3 linked regions of the Arabidopsis thaliana genome follow. The protein of the gene in region 2 interacts with the protein of the main gene of each other region in a biochemical or structural test. Each region holds a gene or a part of one and is shown on either strand. Other genes may lie near its edges. The genes, in order: PRR5, FKF1 and CDF1.

What was found.
Region 1: the proteins of FKF1 (region 2) and PRR5 form a complex in vitro, tested with the Arabidopsis thaliana proteins (one study listed by BioGRID).
Region 3: the proteins of FKF1 (region 2) and CDF1 form a complex in vitro, tested with the Arabidopsis thaliana proteins (one study listed by BioGRID).

What each region holds. Positions count from the first base shown.
Region 1 is NC_003076.8:8,355,210-8,361,135, reverse strand, and holds PRR5 (two-component response regulator-like protein), read left to right. Parts: upstream 1-2,589; coding exon 2,590-2,815; intron 2,816-3,070; coding exon 3,071-3,232; intron 3,233-3,311; coding exon 3,312-3,442; intron 3,443-3,597; coding exon 3,598-4,052; intron 4,053-4,145; coding exon 4,146-4,755; intron 4,756-4,839; coding exon 4,840-4,932; downstream 4,933-5,926. Other genes in the region: AT5G24460 (RING-H2 zinc finger protein), read right to left, coding at 5,419-5,926. UniProt on the Arabidopsis thaliana protein: Transcriptional repressor of CCA1 and LHY, thereby controlling photoperiodic flowering response. Involved in the positive and negative feedback loops of the circadian clock. With RVE8, forms a negative feedback loop of the circadian clock.
Region 2 is NC_003070.9:25,506,422-25,512,155, forward strand, and holds FKF1 (flavin-binding, kelch repeat, f box 1), read left to right. Parts: upstream 1-2,217; 5' UTR 2,218-2,315; coding exon 2,316-2,587; intron 2,588-2,688; coding exon 2,689-4,276; 3' UTR 4,277-4,486; downstream 4,487-5,734. Other genes in the region: MAP70-1 (microtubule-associated proteins 70-1), read right to left, coding at 4,971-5,010, 5,102-5,289, 5,371-5,734. UniProt on the Arabidopsis thaliana protein: Component of an E3 ubiquitin ligase complex that plays a central role in blue light-dependent circadian cycles.
Region 3 is NC_003076.8:25,067,904-25,073,512, reverse strand, and holds CDF1 (cycling DOF factor 1), read left to right. Parts: upstream 1-2,401; 5' UTR 2,402-2,725; coding exon 2,726-2,818; intron 2,819-3,411; coding exon 3,412-4,215; 3' UTR 4,216-4,420; downstream 4,421-5,609. Other genes in the region: AT5G62440 (EMB514 (DUF3223)), read left to right, coding at 582-893. UniProt on the Arabidopsis thaliana protein: Transcription factor that binds specifically to a 5'-AA[AG]G-3' consensus core sequence. A flanking TGT sequence contributes to the specificity of binding. Regulates a photoperiodic flowering response. Transcriptional repressor of 'CONSTANS' expression.

The sequences.
Region 1 (5,926 bases), on a different chromosome or scaffold from region 2:
GTAAGTTAGGCCAAAATATCTTTAGATTTTATTCCTCAAGCCAAAAGTCATTGATCCACTACACTTCAACACCGGTGCGTAGAGCATCATCCAACCAATTAATCAAACATTTTCTTTTTCTTATATATCGTTGAGTTATTAGTCAATTGTGGTTATTACGCTCGTCTGTATATCATAGGTTCGAGTTCAAGTAATTTAAAGTTTGGGCGACAAAACAAAAATAGTAAAAAATTTGTTTCAAAGTATCATGTTGTGTAGTTGAATTTTAATTTTGCCCCACATATTATCTTTTTGATTAATAAAATAAATATACTTTCAAATAGTTGTAATTTATCAAATAAGTATTGATCATAGAACAGTGATTACTTTTAAAAACAGTTGCTAATGTTTTAAAAATGTAATTCTTTCTCGAATTTCGTACTTTCTATTACATATTATAAAAAAATAACTTATTATTTAGATACCACAGTAAAGTTGTTATCCGTAAAAATTATTTGACATTATATATCGTTATCATCATTATACAAATTTTTTTTGATAATTCAGATGATTTTAATGGTTTTTTATGTCCAAAGAGTAATCTTCAAGCCCGAAAAAACTATGTTAAAATTCGAACTTCGGTGACCAATATTACTGAAATCCAAATGACGAATAATTATTTTCTGGTTTATTATTGGACGAATGCGACTTAATTATTTTGTCTATTTTATATCATTTCTATTAGCAACATCATAATAAAATTTCTAATATATGCTGTCAATTATGTGACCAGCAACAATATAGTAAAACAATGTTAATTAAACCCATCTAACAACAATAAAAATTTGTCACTGACATAGTTTTCCTATATAGCACTTATTTTTCTTTTGTCAATAAAACACGCCGGCCTAAACCTATTTCTCAGTTTAACGCATGAAGTGCTAGTACAAGGAACTAAACCACCTGGCTTATTATTAACCATTTTCTTCATTTGTTTGATTGATCATTACACTAATTGTCCTTTTTTATTACCTAGTAGTTTACTAAGTTTGATTAAGAGAAGAAAACCATAGGGTCCAGTCAATAAAAAAGAAAGTCATAGCGTAGGACAAGACTCTTGTTACAAGAGAGCGAGTAGGAGAGATATATTACACTCGCGGGCGCGTAAAGAGACAAGGAAAAAAGAAGATATTTAGTCTCTGACAGTGACAGCTACCATTTAAAGGTGAAAGACTGTGTCAGATAATAACCATACACGTGTCATATTCCTATCCACCAAAGAACCACGAGGTTTTTAAACAAGTGTCTCTAATCTAATCCCACCCAACAACAAAATATCTAGCCGCGGAAAATTACTTTAAAATTCATCACCCTTTGTCCCTACTCTTGACTCGTGCATGTTCCATTTGATTTATTCCACCACGCAACCAAAATAGTAGCAATAGAAAAAACCAAAATGTTGATAAAAATTTGGTAAACTATGAATCTCTATGATCGATATTCATTTGTTTGATTGTTCCATTTCTTTTCTAATGCAAATCAATATTAAAGTGTTCTTATTTCGTGACTAAAATATATGGCTGGCCGAAAAAATATAAAATAATATATGACATTTGCTATTAGTTAGCACCAGTGATCATTTGGTGTAAGCAAATGTTTTTTGTGCCAAAAAATAATATTGAAATATATGTATAATTAATTCATTAACAAAAAGTTCTTATTTGTTATTTCAGAAAATAAATTATACCATGTGTCCTTGATTTTCTTATGTGAAAAAAAATTGAAATATCCTTATTGTTTTTAAAATAAACAAATTGCAAACCTATGTACCAAACAGAAAATAATACAATTGTTTTTGGATAAATTTGTATAGATACTTTTTCCCACTAGCATTAGATATTTTTTGGGTTTGGTATTATCCCAAAAGTCACGAGTGGGATTTTTATAGGTACTCAAAAGCTAAAATGTCTGAACAATAATATAAAATACATTTTAAAATAAAAGTAAAATTTAGAAGCATCAAATAAGTAATAGTTTCAATGTTTAGTGTTGATCTCTTATTAAAAGAAAAATAAACAAGAAATTCACTAAATATTTCTCCATCACAAATACATAAACATCAATTGCAATAAATATTTTGGTAAAGTATAATAAAAAATTAAATCCAACTTTAAATATGAACCACATAGAAAAACCAAAGGCTAGCCACCACACCAATTTTTTCTTAAAAGAAGGTTATTTGGCGTATTGGATCTCTTTTGTCTCGTATACAGTATTTTGCTGATGTGGCAAACGTGGCCACGTCAGCCAATTCTACTAGATATTTTTTCAAATCCAAATACTCTTTCCACAACCGTTAGATCATGGTCGGTTCGCCACCCACTTTCAATCATAACCGTTAAAACATTCGCTAGATTTTTTCTAGATATTTTCTTTTCTCCACACTATTATAGAAAGAATAAAGTTCTTTTTTTTGCTCTCTTCTCATTTATCTCTCCACTCACAAATATTTTGATTTGTTTTGTAACTGTTTCTCTTTCTCTGGAGCTTTCTTCTTCTTCTTCAATAATCGATTTAGGTTTTTCAAAGCTAAGTGTTTGTGTTGTGATAATGACTAGTAGCGAGGAAGTAGTTGAAGTGACGGTGGTTAAAGCACCTGAAGCTGGCGGAGGAAAGTTATCACGTCGGAAGATTCGGAAGAAAGACGCCGGTGTTGATGGTTTGGTGAAGTGGGAGAGATTTCTCCCGAAAATCGCGCTTAGAGTTTTGCTCGTTGAAGCTGATGATTCTACTAGACAGATTATCGCTGCTCTTCTCAGGAAATGTAGTTACAGAGGTTAGTTTCTGGTTTCAATGCTTGAGATTTAGGTTTTGTTTGTATAGAATCTGAGAATTATGAATTCGATTGAGATGCTAATGTTTTGAATCTGATTCGCGTGCGGCTAAATGTTACAATTCAAAGTCAAATTTAGAAAAGTCAACGATTTTTTTGTCGGTTTTGTGTTCATATAGAAATCTTTATCAACGCTTAGTTTCTACAACAAGCTAAAAGGATTTGTATTAATGTGGTTTGGTTTTGTGTATTGATCAGTTGCTGCAGTACCTGATGGCTTAAAAGCTTGGGAGATGCTAAAAGGAAAGCCTGAAAGTGTTGATTTGATATTAACAGAGGTTGATCTACCTTCAATATCTGGATATGCTCTGCTAACACTTATCATGGAGCATGATATTTGCAAGAACATTCCTGTTATAAGTACGTTGATATATACATCTTTTTCTTCCATCGTTTTGAAATGATTTTTTGGCTCATTATGTATTGTTTTTTTTTCCAGTGATGTCGACACAGGACTCGGTGAATACTGTGTATAAGTGTATGTTGAAAGGTGCGGCTGATTATCTTGTTAAGCCGTTGAGGAGGAATGAGCTTAGAAATCTTTGGCAGCATGTCTGGAGAAGACAAACTGTATGTTTCATATCCATCTTTTGTTTTAAGCTTTATGTGTGATGAATTATCTCTACAACTTAAACCCGTTCTTATATAAGTTCTGGGAAATTTCGTTGTCTTGAAAAGATGATTGAGTTCTCAGATTTGTTTTTGGTTTTGATTATCTTTTACAGTCACTTGCTCCTGATAGCTTTCCATGGAATGAGAGTGTTGGACAGCAGAAAGCCGAGGGTGCGTCTGCAAACAACTCGAACGGAAAGAGAGACGATCATGTTGTGAGTGGGAATGGTGGTGATGCCCAGAGCTCGTGTACAAGACCAGAGATGGAAGGTGAGAGCGCAGACGTGGAGGTTAGTGCGAGAGACGCAGTACAGATGGAGTGCGCAAAGTCTCAGTTTAATGAGACACGGCTTCTAGCAAATGAGTTGCAGAGTAAGCAAGCAGAAGCCATTGACTTCATGGGAGCATCGTTTAGAAGAACTGGACGACGTAACAGAGAAGAAAGTGTTGCTCAATACGAATCTCGGATAGAGCTTGATCTTTCTCTGAGAAGACCTAATGCTTCTGAGAACCAATCTTCTGGAGACCGGCCTTCTCTTCATCCTTCTAGTGCCTCAGCTTTCACACGGTGAGTTGTCTAATTTCTCAATTCTTCTTTCTATTAATCGTTCAATAGTTGTCGTTCTTTCTGCTGATTGTGTGTGTTATGTTCTTGTTGCAGGTACGTTCACAGGCCGTTGCAGACACAATGTTCAGCCTCCCCAGTGGTTACTGATCAAAGAAAGAATGTTGCAGCAAGTCAAGATGATAACATTGTGCTAATGAACCAATACAATACATCTGAACCGCCTCCAAATGCTCCAAGAAGAAACGACACCAGCTTTTACACTGGAGCTGACTCACCTGGTCCACCGTTTAGTAATCAGCTGAATTCTTGGCCGGGACAGAGTTCATACCCTACGCCAACCCCTATCAACAATATACAGTTCAGAGATCCCAACACAGCTTATACATCTGCAATGGCTCCTGCTTCACTCTCCCCAAGCCCTAGTTCCGTTAGCCCGCATGAGTACAGTTCCATGTTTCACCCATTCAACAGTAAACCCGAGGGGTTACAAGACCGGGATTGTTCCATGGATGTAGATGAGAGGAGATACGTCTCTTCTGCAACCGAACATAGTGCAATAGGCAATCACATTGATCAGCTTATTGAGAAGAAGAACGAAGATGGCTATTCATTATCCGTCGGGAAAATTCAGCAATCTCTTCAACGAGAAGCCGCTTTAACCAAATTCCGAATGAAGCGAAAGGACAGATGTTATGAGAAAAAGGTAAAAACTTAACTTCGATGGTTCCATCACATAGATGAACTCATAACGTAATGATACTAAAGGAACCTTTGAATGACTTAACAGGTTCGTTACGAGAGCCGGAAGAAATTAGCAGAGCAACGACCACGAATCAAAGGCCAATTCGTTCGTCAAGTCCAATCCACACAAGCTCCATAGTGATCCAACAAATTGATATATTATATACAGTTCAATTTTGTATCATCAACTAGAGGAATTTTGTTTTCTCCGATGCAGGAGCTGTTCTTTGTACAACTAATTCCACATACGTTAGATTTGGTGACACATTTGTGTGTACATACACATCTTTCGAGCTTGTTGTTGAGTTTTAGTTAGAATCTACGTTAGATCTGTAACTACATACATTTGGATTACGTTTCTGTAACTTGCAAGACGAATTAGAAAGATTGACAAAATCTCAGCTAAACAAATTTCAGCACAAAACAATGAACTCGAAGAAGATAAGCTATAGTGAGATCAAAACTTCTGGAGAATAGTATCCACTAACACAAAAATAGCCAAACGAAGAAGATGATTATGAACATATATAAATGTGTATATGTATCTCTACATGGCTCTCTGATTATTCATGTATCAAAAGCAAGATTGATAAAATTTGTGAAAAGCTTTGTTTTGAGATTTTTTTTAAGATCGAATCGAATCAGGACTAACCCATTTCCAGTAATGTCGTTTCACAGTTACAGCATTCCCAGCGGCGAGTGTTTCAACCGAATCTTTCGTCGAGTCTCCTCCCTCGTACTCTTTTTCCTCCGTACAGAAATCTTGCTCCGGTAATCCCTCCACCGTTGCATTCACAGAGTGAAGAGCGTAACGCGCCGGTAATCCTGGATACGATAGCGAGTTCCTTTCTTCAACTCTTCTGTTATAAGTTCCGGGAAGAATCTTAATTCTCTGTCCAATGTTATCACCATCGCCATTGAAGATAGATCCGAGCTCTTCTTTTATGGCGCGAAAAACTGCTTCGTCGGGAGATTCTTCAGGCTTCATTTTCTCTGATAAAGGACGAAATCTTTCACGAATACTCCCATCGGATAATTCCTGATGAGCTTCCACTAGGATTCGTCCGTTTTTTCCGATTACTCGAACGGTGACGACGTTGACGGTGCGTACTGGAGGAGTTGAATCGGCGAGA
Region 2 (5,734 bases):
TACTAAACTGAAAGTGCACATGAATATGATATGTATTAAGTTGGATATTGAATCCCACAAAATCAAAAGATTTGATGAACTAAAAAAGTTCACGCAGCAAATTTGTTTTTCATTTGCTGAAGTTTTTATTGACTAATTAATTAGTTAACTAAAACCTGAAAGAAAAGAAAAAACGGAGGTAATAGTTTAGGGTACTGACGTGTGAGCTTACGCAATTTTCGAATTAGGAAGTGAGCTAGATTCTAGGGCTGTGATACGTGAATGTATATACTTTCTGTTTCGTGTTCAAGTCATATTTTAGTTTTTGTTTTGGTAAAAGAAGTCATATTTTAGCTGTGAAATTACAAATATATTTTTGTGATAACATTATAAATATATATTAACATGTGGAACCCTAATTCTCATTAAACTGCTCACGTTAAAGCACATGCAGTACACCAACCATTTAAATTGTTTTGCTTAGCACGATTTTGTTTCATTCATGATTCAAAACTTCAATTTTTCTTCGTCTGTTTTTATATAAATATTCGAAACATTTATAGAATTTTTTTGTTTTTAATTTGTAATTTGGATGTGGTCAAAAATCATACTTGGATCTATATTGATGTTATACATTTCACGACTTCAAAAGAAACTATTGCTCGCTCTATTTCTGTCATTAATTAACTCATAACTTAACTTACACAAAAATTGAGATGATGACAATCATGAAACTATTTAAAAAGAAAAAGACCAGACCGGCCAATGTTAGACTAGGATTAGTGGCTATTATTCTAGTGACAGGGGTGCGATGAGTACCATTGTTTTTGAACATGTCTCTTTGTCTTCGCGATGAACCAAGCGGTCCCAAAAGTATTGGCAATAGATAGAGCCTCAATACCTTTAATTAATTATAAATTTCCCTGAATTTATATTCTCCAAAAATGAATGTTATTTTTTTCATCAATCAAAAAAAGTTGTTGGGTTTTAGTCCACCAAAAAGATGTTTGAGTTTCGATTGTTTGTGTTCAAAAAATCAAATTACATAACAAAAGCCAGAACTTTTTTTTATATCAAAAAGTAAAGAAAAAATAAGAAAAACAAAAAATCATAACTTTTTTTATTGAGGTGATAAGGAATGTAATTTATTGACGTCTTGTGAACCCGATATAAATCTAAAACTTGAAGTAGCTAATGAAACATAACAGGAAATGTTGGAGTGGTATAGAAATTACCTTTAATTTACCTTTAATTGTATAGAAATTAAAGATAAAATAAAAAGATAAATCTATGAAACAATTATTTTGTCTATATACCAAAAGGGTTAGTTTTCTTGTGTTTAGTTTTTTGGAATGGAAATATATTATTTAAATTGGAATATTTTTTTGGTTGAACACAATTGGAATATGTAAAGGTTGATTTCATGTACTTGAAAGATTATGGTCAGAAGCCTTCTCACACGGTTAAGAAAAATAAAAAAAATATGTTGTCTATTTATTTGGTTCAAATTAAGTTTTTGTGTGGGCTTTGTGGGCTAGCTATTTAGTATGGGCCTAGATCTGGACTTCTGTAAATCTTAGGACTACACTTAACTCTATTACTCTCATAGTATGCCACTATGTGGGGTCTATGGCCACTATTGCTATCAATTATTACATATTTACATTACTTACGTACATTTTCGTATTTCTAATGTAATTTTTTTGTTTAGAAACTTATATAAGTGGGAAGTTTTAGAGCTAAATCTGAATTTTCTCAACTGGGGAGAAAAACTCCCTTGTCTCATCATCCCATTCCACTCACCACGAAAACTCAATTTGTTACATTAACATTATGTGTAACCTTTTCGAGAATCGCGTTTCACAAAAATATCTATTATTTGACCAGAGTCAACGGTTACGTGAATCTGATTCCAATTGCGTTCCAACTTCCAAGTTCCAACACTTCACAAACAAAAACAAATATCTTCCCTCAAATCTCAATCTTCAAAAAAAAAACAAATATCTTTCACAAAATATGATGACGTGGAAGAAGCGAGTGGTTGAGTAGGCTAGATATTTTCTCGGAATATCCCCTGGTGACGTGTTACAATCGAACAAGAGTAGACTTACTTTTTTTAAACATACCCCTGATATATCCTTTTAATTACGAAAATTGCCACCAACTCCTGGCGCGAAGACTTCTTGCCTCGTCTTAAATATAAAGGGTATATTCGTCAATAAGTCACCAACTAAGCCAAGATATTTTAAAAGTTTAAACAGACACAAAAAGAAATAAAATATCATAAGGCTGAGAGCTTATCAGAGAAGAAGAAGATATTTCTGTAAGCGAGAAAAATGGCGAGAGAACATGCGATCGGAGAAGCCACCGGAAAACGAAAGAAACGCGGCAGAGTTGAAGAAGCAGAAGAATACTGTAACGATGGAATCGAAGAACAAGTAGAGGATGAGAAGCTTCCGTTAGAGGTTGGGATGTTCTATTACCCAATGACTCCGCCTTCGTTCATTGTTTCCGATGCTCTGGAGCCAGATTTTCCTTTGATCTATGTCAACAGAGTCTTCGAAGTCTTCACTGGCTATCGTGCCGATGAAGTTCTTGGTCGTAACTGGTATATTAATTTCTCCGATTTCCCCCTTTTTGAATTGGAGTGTGTTGTTATCAATTCTCTTGAATAATGCTGCATTTGTGGTTGAATCTGCTTGGTTTCAGTCGATTCCTACAGTACAGAGATCCTCGAGCTCAAAGGCGTCACCCATTGGTTGATCCTGTGGTTGTATCTGAGATTAGGAGATGTCTTGAAGAAGGTATTGAATTCCAAGGAGAGCTTCTTAATTTCAGAAAAGATGGTACTCCTTTGGTTAACAGACTACGGCTTGCTCCAATACGTGACGATGATGGAACCATTACACACGTAATTGGGATACAGGTCTTCTCTGAAACGACTATAGACCTTGACCGTGTCTCGTATCCTGTGTTCAAACATAAACAACAGCTTGATCAAACATCTGAGTGCTTGTTTCCAAGTGGAAGCCCGAGGTTTAAGGAGCATCATGAAGATTTCTGTGGGATATTGCAGCTATCTGATGAAGTTTTGGCTCATAACATCTTATCTCGGTTAACTCCAAGGGACGTTGCTTCAATTGGTTCTGCTTGCAGGAGGTTGAGGCAGTTGACGAAGAACGAGAGTGTGAGGAAGATGGTATGTCAGAATGCGTGGGGAAAAGAGATAACTGGAACACTGGAGATTATGACTAAGAAGCTAAGATGGGGTCGGTTAGCTAGAGAGCTCACCACTCTTGAAGCTGTGTGTTGGCGTAAATTTACTGTTGGAGGGATTGTACAACCTTCCCGCTGCAATTTCAGCGCGTGTGCTGTTGGGAACCGGCTTGTGCTATTTGGTGGGGAAGGGGTTAACATGCAGCCATTGGATGATACTTTTGTTCTCAATCTTGATGCAGAGTGTCCTGAGTGGCAGCGTGTGAGGGTGACGTCGTCGCCTCCAGGACGTTGGGGACACACACTCTCGTGTCTCAACGGGTCGTGGTTGGTAGTCTTTGGAGGGTGTGGAAGACAAGGATTGCTTAATGATGTATTTGTGCTTGATCTAGACGCTAAGCATCCCACATGGAAGGAAGTAGCAGGAGGAACTCCTCCATTGCCAAGATCTTGGCACAGCTCGTGCACCATTGAGGGCTCTAAACTGGTTGTCTCAGGTGGCTGCACAGACGCTGGAGTGCTTCTCAGCGACACCTTCTTGTTGGATCTGACAACAGATAAACCGACATGGAAAGAGATCCCGACATCATGGGCTCCTCCTTCTAGACTTGGGCATTCTTTATCGGTCTTTGGTCGGACTAAAATCCTAATGTTTGGCGGGCTTGCAAATAGTGGTCATCTAAAGCTAAGGTCAGGGGAGGCATACACTATAGACTTGGAGGATGAAGAACCAAGATGGAGAGAGCTTGAGTGTAGCGCATTCCCAGGCGTGGTTGTACCGCCTCCAAGACTAGACCATGTGGCTGTGAGCATGCCGTGTGGTAGGGTCATCATCTTTGGAGGGTCGATTGCAGGGCTTCACTCTCCTTCGCAACTGTTTCTAATAGATCCTGCAGAAGAGAAACCGTCATGGAGGATCCTGAATGTCCCCGGGAAACCGCCTAAGTTAGCTTGGGGACATAGCACATGCGTTGTTGGAGGAACTAGAGTATTGGTCCTTGGTGGTCACACTGGTGAGGAATGGATACTCAATGAATTACATGAACTCTGCTTGGCTAGCCGGCAAGACTCGGATCTGTAAAGACTCTTTCCTTCTTCATTTGGTTTGTGGTTTTGTATCTGTCACATTCCAAACTCTTACGACATGTAGAAGAGATATATCAGAAGCTAGAAGCGTGTGTACATAGTAAATTAGTGATTGTTGTACGCTTTAGATAGATATTCATGTAATGTTAATGGTTTTGCTGTATGAAGATCCTTCTATAATATACTTCTCCTTGTTACTCGACCATGCAGGATTTGATTTTTGACGTACCATCCAAAAGAGAGAAGACACTGAGTTTGGACATATATATATATATCCACAAACCCAAAAGTAGAAATAATCACACAACACCTCAAGTAAATAGAATGAAGAAACCGAAAAAGTAAAGTACACAAACTTCAATACAGAGCTAAAACCTATACAGCCAAACAAACTACTTCCATAGGACAGAAAATGTTATGCGAAAATGTCAAACATCTCTCCCTCCACCCTTTTTTCTTGTCGTCATCGCTAAGCAGTGTAAGCCGATCTAAGTCAGAAAGCATACTTATCTTTTTCATCCTTAAGTTCTATGGTAATTCAATAAATCACAGAGGATGTAAAGGAAAGCAAGAGAAATAAAAAAGAGATATAAAGGTTAAAAAGAGCTTAAAAATCACACCAGCCTATAACGGTTTTACTTGTTTAAACTGATACGACCACAAGAACTAGTCACATCTCCTCCCTCATCTCATTGTGTACTCCTTGTTAACCCACTTCGGCCAGCAGCTCTGCAGAATATCGAACACCAAGCTTAGTCTGATTGCTAAAATCGCAATTTGATCATAAAAATAGACAAAGATATTCAACATTGTTAGATACCTTGCAGCAAGAATCTGGGCGGTGTTGGATGAGGGTTTGGTGTTTGAAGACCTTTTAGCTCTATTATCCTGATCTTTATCCACACGCATTGCAGCAACCTCTTTCTCCATTGCAGCCACTTCCCTTCTCATCTTCTTTGCTTCAACTTCCATTGCCTTTGTTAAAGTTTCAACCTTTTTTGCTAACATCTACAAGAAAAATATCAAGACTTCCATTACAAACACGTCTTTTTAACAACATTTTATATGGTACATTCAGAGAGATTTTACCTCTATGGCATCATCCTTGTCTTTGAGGCTTTGATCCTTTTCATGCGAAGATTTTCTCAAGGCGACTACTTCCTTCTGTAGTAAATCATACAAAACCCCTGGGACATTGTCTTCGGTTGCTGGTGCAGGGAGTTCACTTGGTGGCTTCTCTTCTGAATCTTCTTTCCAGGTATTAGGTGACTCTGATTCTTTGGTTTCATCACAAGCCTTGTTGAACGAATAATTCCCAGGTCCTTTTAAGAGTGCTTTGCCTCTATCCAATGATCTTGTGCCTCCATCGAATGACTTGGATGTTCCTTTAGCATTCTTCAATACCGAGGTGGAATTAGAAGTAAAGGAATTTCTCATCGGAGTTTTCTTTGAC
Region 3 (5,609 bases), on a different chromosome or scaffold from region 2:
TAATCTAAGAGCTCTGATTGTGATTATTAAGTTCTGTGATGTGTTTAGGAAGATGTTTTATCAATGAATCTGATGATGATCGTGCTTTGTATTTAAACTAAAAGAAATTGAGAATTGGGTTCGCCTTTGTATTGGTCATATGATTTGATTTTGGATTCAGTGTTTGGTGTTAGAATTTTGTTTTTGTCTCAAATTAGTGGTTGTTTACAATGATTGTGGATATTGTATTATGTTTAGGGAGATGATTGTGGATATTGTATTATGTTTAGGGAGAGGATTAGTGAAGTGGAGATAGCTTGTAAATTGGACTCCTTTGCAGCTTTTTTACTAGTTGAAAAGTTCAAATGTATCGTGTTCTTACTGATTATATGATTGTGGATTGTGTGTGAATTAGAAAGTTTTTTTGGGTCTTGATGTCATATAATGGTTAGAAGAATGAAGTTAATGTCAAATTTTGAGGGCACAAATAAAAGATAAAACATTGCATAGTCATGTAATATATTACAGTTGTTGCAGTTTCTTTTGAGCTTCCAACTAACTAACTCGTTGTACTGAACTTTGTTCTGGATTGTACATTTCAGTATGAGCACATGGTGCTGCTAGATCTGATTAAGAAGGGCCATTCTGAGCCTGAAAAGAAGATTGGAGGAGGAATCAAAACCTTCCAAGTAAGAACCCACCCAATGTGGAAAAGCAGATGCTTCTTTCTGGTTAGGGAAGACGATACTGCAGACGATTTCAGCTTCAGGAAGTGTGTTGATCAAATCCTCCCATTGCCTGAAAACATGAAGACTCCTGGAGCTAACGGCAATGGACATGGTGGAGGTCGCGGTGGCGGTGGTGGAAGAAGAGGCGGTCGTGGTGGTGGTAGAGGAGGGAGATTCAGAAGATGAATATGCTGACACTTGATGCCTTATTTCAAAAGAAAATTTTGAAAATTTCAGATTTAGTTCTTTTGCCAAAAACTTTAAAAGTTATGATCTTGTCTAATGCAACTGCTTTTTGTTGGAGAAAAATTGTCAGTTTATATAACCCATTATTGCTGAAGAAGAAGAATATTGTCCCTACTATCTTGACAACATCAGAAAAAAACACAGACGCGTCAATAGAACTAAAAATCTGGTTGATCTAGTTTTTAAAAACCAATAATTCAAAAACGAAAAACTCAAATCAAAATCTAGATGAAAAAAAAACACTTTCCATTGATAGTGTAGTGTTGATCTGGTTGCTAAATGATAATGTTAAATAAAAAGAATTGGGGAAGTTATGAAAAACCGACATTTTGACTTTGGTAACTTACTGTGTGTGACATGTTCACCGTTTACGACCCTTCTAAGAGAAAGACAATGCCCTCAAACTAAAGCTGTCTTAAATCTTAACCCTGCTAAAAAATGATTACATGAAGTGATAACACTGGTTGGCACACGTCTTGGAATAATGGATTATTTTGAAACACATTATGAATTATAAAGAAACATTATCCGATATTCGGTATTCGGATTAATATTCCAAATTGTCTTCTTACACAATATACAAATAGACACATACACAAATTGTCTTTTGAAGATGCAACAAATTTTGTTTTGTTAAGCCTTCTTAGATTTAGGAAGCTTCTTAACTACGATCTTACTGCAACACAATCAGTTTGTGAAATCTATGATCTGACCAAGATGCAGGTGAGTAAGGGACCTACAGTAGAAGTTGACATGGAAAAAAGGCAGAGTTTGGTAAATCATAAAATGTGGCAGAGACCTTTTTGGTAATAGCCAATGAGAGAGCACCTCATATCTATTACCTTCTTCTGCAGTCTTCTTATCTTAACGTACAACCGTTCACTTAATGAAATTCGTCAATGGATGTTATATGGTTGTGAAGTTTTTTTTTTGTTTTTTTTTTTATAATTGATTTTCTATTAATGGTTGTGATTAATCTTTGTGTATAAAAGAAGGGTATATGTTTCTCCAAACCAAAAAGTGTAGATCGTTTTCAAATGAAGGATTTTTATCCTTCTACCAACCAATTAAGAAATTGCACGTAACAAGACAGCTCTCGTGTGAGCTGCACCAAAGCCATCCCCGCGATGCTGACATTTACCTACCCAAAAGTTTCTAAACAGTTTACATAATTGTTTTTTTTTCTTCAATTCAACAATAGATAGATAATTGTTAAGATATGTTAGAAATCTTATATCAGTATTATATATAACGAAGCGTGTTTATAAAAACACTTTTTCTGAAAACTTTATTGCATCCTCGTAGGAGCACTTCGTTTTTTATCGTTCAAACTTGTTATGCATTTGTTCCATGTATATAACTACATAAGACCTTTTTGATCTGTTTGGTTAACGGAAAGTTTAGTGAAAATCTAAAACATATAAAAAAATCGATTCTTCGAATAGTTTTGACAAAGTTTAAAGAAAATAACAAAAGATTATATGCTATGGGTTTTAATGGGGTTTGGGAGAAAAGTAAAATATCAGAGGCCACATAAACTTGTGGTCTAGAATCAAACCAAAATGCTGACCTGGCATCCACTTCACTTTTTAAAACGTATCAAAATCCCAAATCTCACGATTTCCAAACCAAAAATTTCCAAACTACCCAAACCCCCCACAAAACATCTTCGAAGAGAAACAAAAAAAAACACCCTGAAAAGAAAGGAAAAGAGACACAGAGAGTCAGAAACTTACGAGTAAAAAAGAGCACATCTTAGGAAAACGATAATAATGCTGGAAACTAAAGATCCTGCGATAAAGCTCTTTGGTATGAAAATTCCTTTCCCGACGGTTTTAGAGGTTGCTGATGAAGAAGAAGAAAAGGTACTCATTATTATGTCTACTTTTTTGTTTCTGAAAGGGCTGAGTATGTTTTGTTATATACAAGTATAGAGAAAATGAGTTTTGGTGTTTTGAAAAGGGTATTTGAGTTTTTGTTCATTTTCCCATCAAAGGCAACTGTTTTCTTTTTTTGGTATCGTTTTATATTCATAGTTGATGAATTGGTAAACTTTTTGGAGAATTCCTAAGAAAATACACTTAAACCATCTGTTTAATTAAAACTCTAGTTCTCTGTTGGTGAACCAGAGGTTGCAATTTGGTTTGATGACTTTTCATGAAACGAAAAAGCATATTCGTTTCTCCATAAAGTAATCATATTTTTTAGTGAAAAAGGTTGCTTTATAGTATACACACTGAAACCAATAAAGGTGAGCGAATTTAGACTTCTAACTAAAGCGTGTTCTTTAAAAGACTTTTTCCTCCACCAAAATTTCATCTAGAACCTTCTTCTTGAGAATCATACTCATTATAATACAAAGTTTTAAATTCATTTCTGTTTAACATGCTTCAAAAATGTTATTCTTTCTTTATTCATCATCCGTCCCTAATAATCCGATTTCATTGTCTTGCATCAGAACCAAAACAAGACATTAACTGATCAATCGGAGAAAGACAAAACCCTAAAGAAACCAACCAAGATTCTTCCATGTCCAAGATGCAACAGCATGGAGACTAAGTTCTGTTACTACAACAACTACAACGTAAACCAACCTCGCCATTTTTGTAAAGCTTGTCAGAGATATTGGACCTCAGGTGGGACCATGAGAAGTGTTCCAATCGGAGCAGGACGGCGCAAGAACAAGAACAACTCACCAACTTCACATTACCACCATGTGACTATCTCCGAAACAAATGGTCCGGTCCTTAGTTTCAGCCTCGGAGATGATCAAAAGGTCTCGAGTAATAGGTTTGGTAATCAAAAGCTAGTTGCTAGGATAGAGAACAATGACGAGCGCTCTAATAACAACACTTCGAACGGTTTGAATTGTTTTCCGGGAGTTTCGTGGCCGTACACGTGGAATCCTGCGTTTTACCCGGTTTACCCTTATTGGAGCATGCCAGTGTTGTCTTCTCCGGTAAGTTCAAGTCCTACTTCTACTCTTGGTAAGCATTCGAGAGACGAAGACGAGACGGTGAAGCAAAAACAGAGGAATGGATCTGTATTGGTTCCAAAGACTTTGAGAATTGATGATCCTAATGAAGCTGCAAAGAGTTCGATATGGACAACACTTGGGATCAAGAACGAAGTTATGTTCAATGGGTTTGGTTCGAAGAAAGAGGTTAAGCTCAGTAACAAAGAAGAAACAGAGACCTCACTTGTTCTTTGTGCAAACCCTGCTGCGTTATCAAGATCAATCAATTTCCATGAGCAGATGTGATTGTATACATATGATATATACGTGTATGTATGTATAGATGTGGTGGAAGATTAAGTTAGATCCATCAAAATCTGACTTTTTTGTTCTTTCGTTGTGGCTTACATGAAGCTTTATAATAGCTTTTGTACCATATACTTTTTAGTCTTTTAAGTTTGATTTTTGTTGTAAGATTAAATACGATGAAATAAAAGTTCTTTTTGACCGTTATCTTGCATTCAAATTAAATACGCTGTTAAAAGCTAACAGTAAAAATATAAAAAAACTGTTGTGAGATTTGAGATAGACATCTGATTTACTTTAAACACGAGTGGATAAGTAAAGTAAGATAAGATAATGTAAAAAGATTTCTTGAATTTGACCTCTTTTGTGCGATAACTAACAGTTGTGTCATGTGTGCTGGTGCGGGTGGGCACGATAAAACAGCACAAAACATAATAATGTTGAATATGGAAAACAAAGCAAACAGCAACAAATAAAATAAACTATAATGAAATTAGATTTAATCAAGTTTTGCAGAGTTTTTAAATTATCGTTAGTTAATCTATTTACTTTTATTTTGACTTTCTTTGCAACTTAGCCCCTTTTAATGGAGTGTTGTATTTTAGATCATTTTCGTGTAATGTTTTTTTGGTAAAGTACATAGTATTTTTGGATAATAAATATCCTAGATTGATTAAAAAATTTAGTTCTTGGATAATTTGTTGACCAACCGTATCAAACGAATGTACTTTAACGAATACTTCTCTAATCAAAACCTGGTATAAAGGTTTTTTTAGATTAAAACGAGGAATATATGGAAAAAAATCAGAAATAGACGTCGAGACAGTCTGTATATAATCATTTGTTTGCTTATTTTTACTTCCTTTTAACTAATTATGCTGAAAAAGATGGATCATTGTGCTCCCAAATTCATTTATTTTTATGAACTTTGGTCTGTGTGTCTGATAGCAACTTAGATATTTTGGACAGCTCAACTAATATTAGCCACAAATGTGATTATCCTAAACCATTTTTTATTATTTCCTTTGAAATTGTTAATAACGTGGGACAGAGTATTTTTTTTGGCTGAAAGTAAAGAGCAGGACACGTTGCTTTTTCATTCTTTTGAATATAGACAGTATTATCTCTGCGACCCAAAAATATTCAATATCATAAATTCTCTAATTGTTCATACATTATTATTATTTTCTTTCCTCCACATATGGAACAAAATAAGAATGCATATATGAAACAGTATTTAACGTCGATCACTAGAGTCGATTTGAATCAAACAGCTTTGTAACCACGTTCAACCATTTTTCTTGGTTATTCAGATATCTTTTTTTTTTTTATGTCATTGAATTTGTGTCTTGATGTCATTGAATGTTATTGAATTTGTGTCTTCAAACAATTTC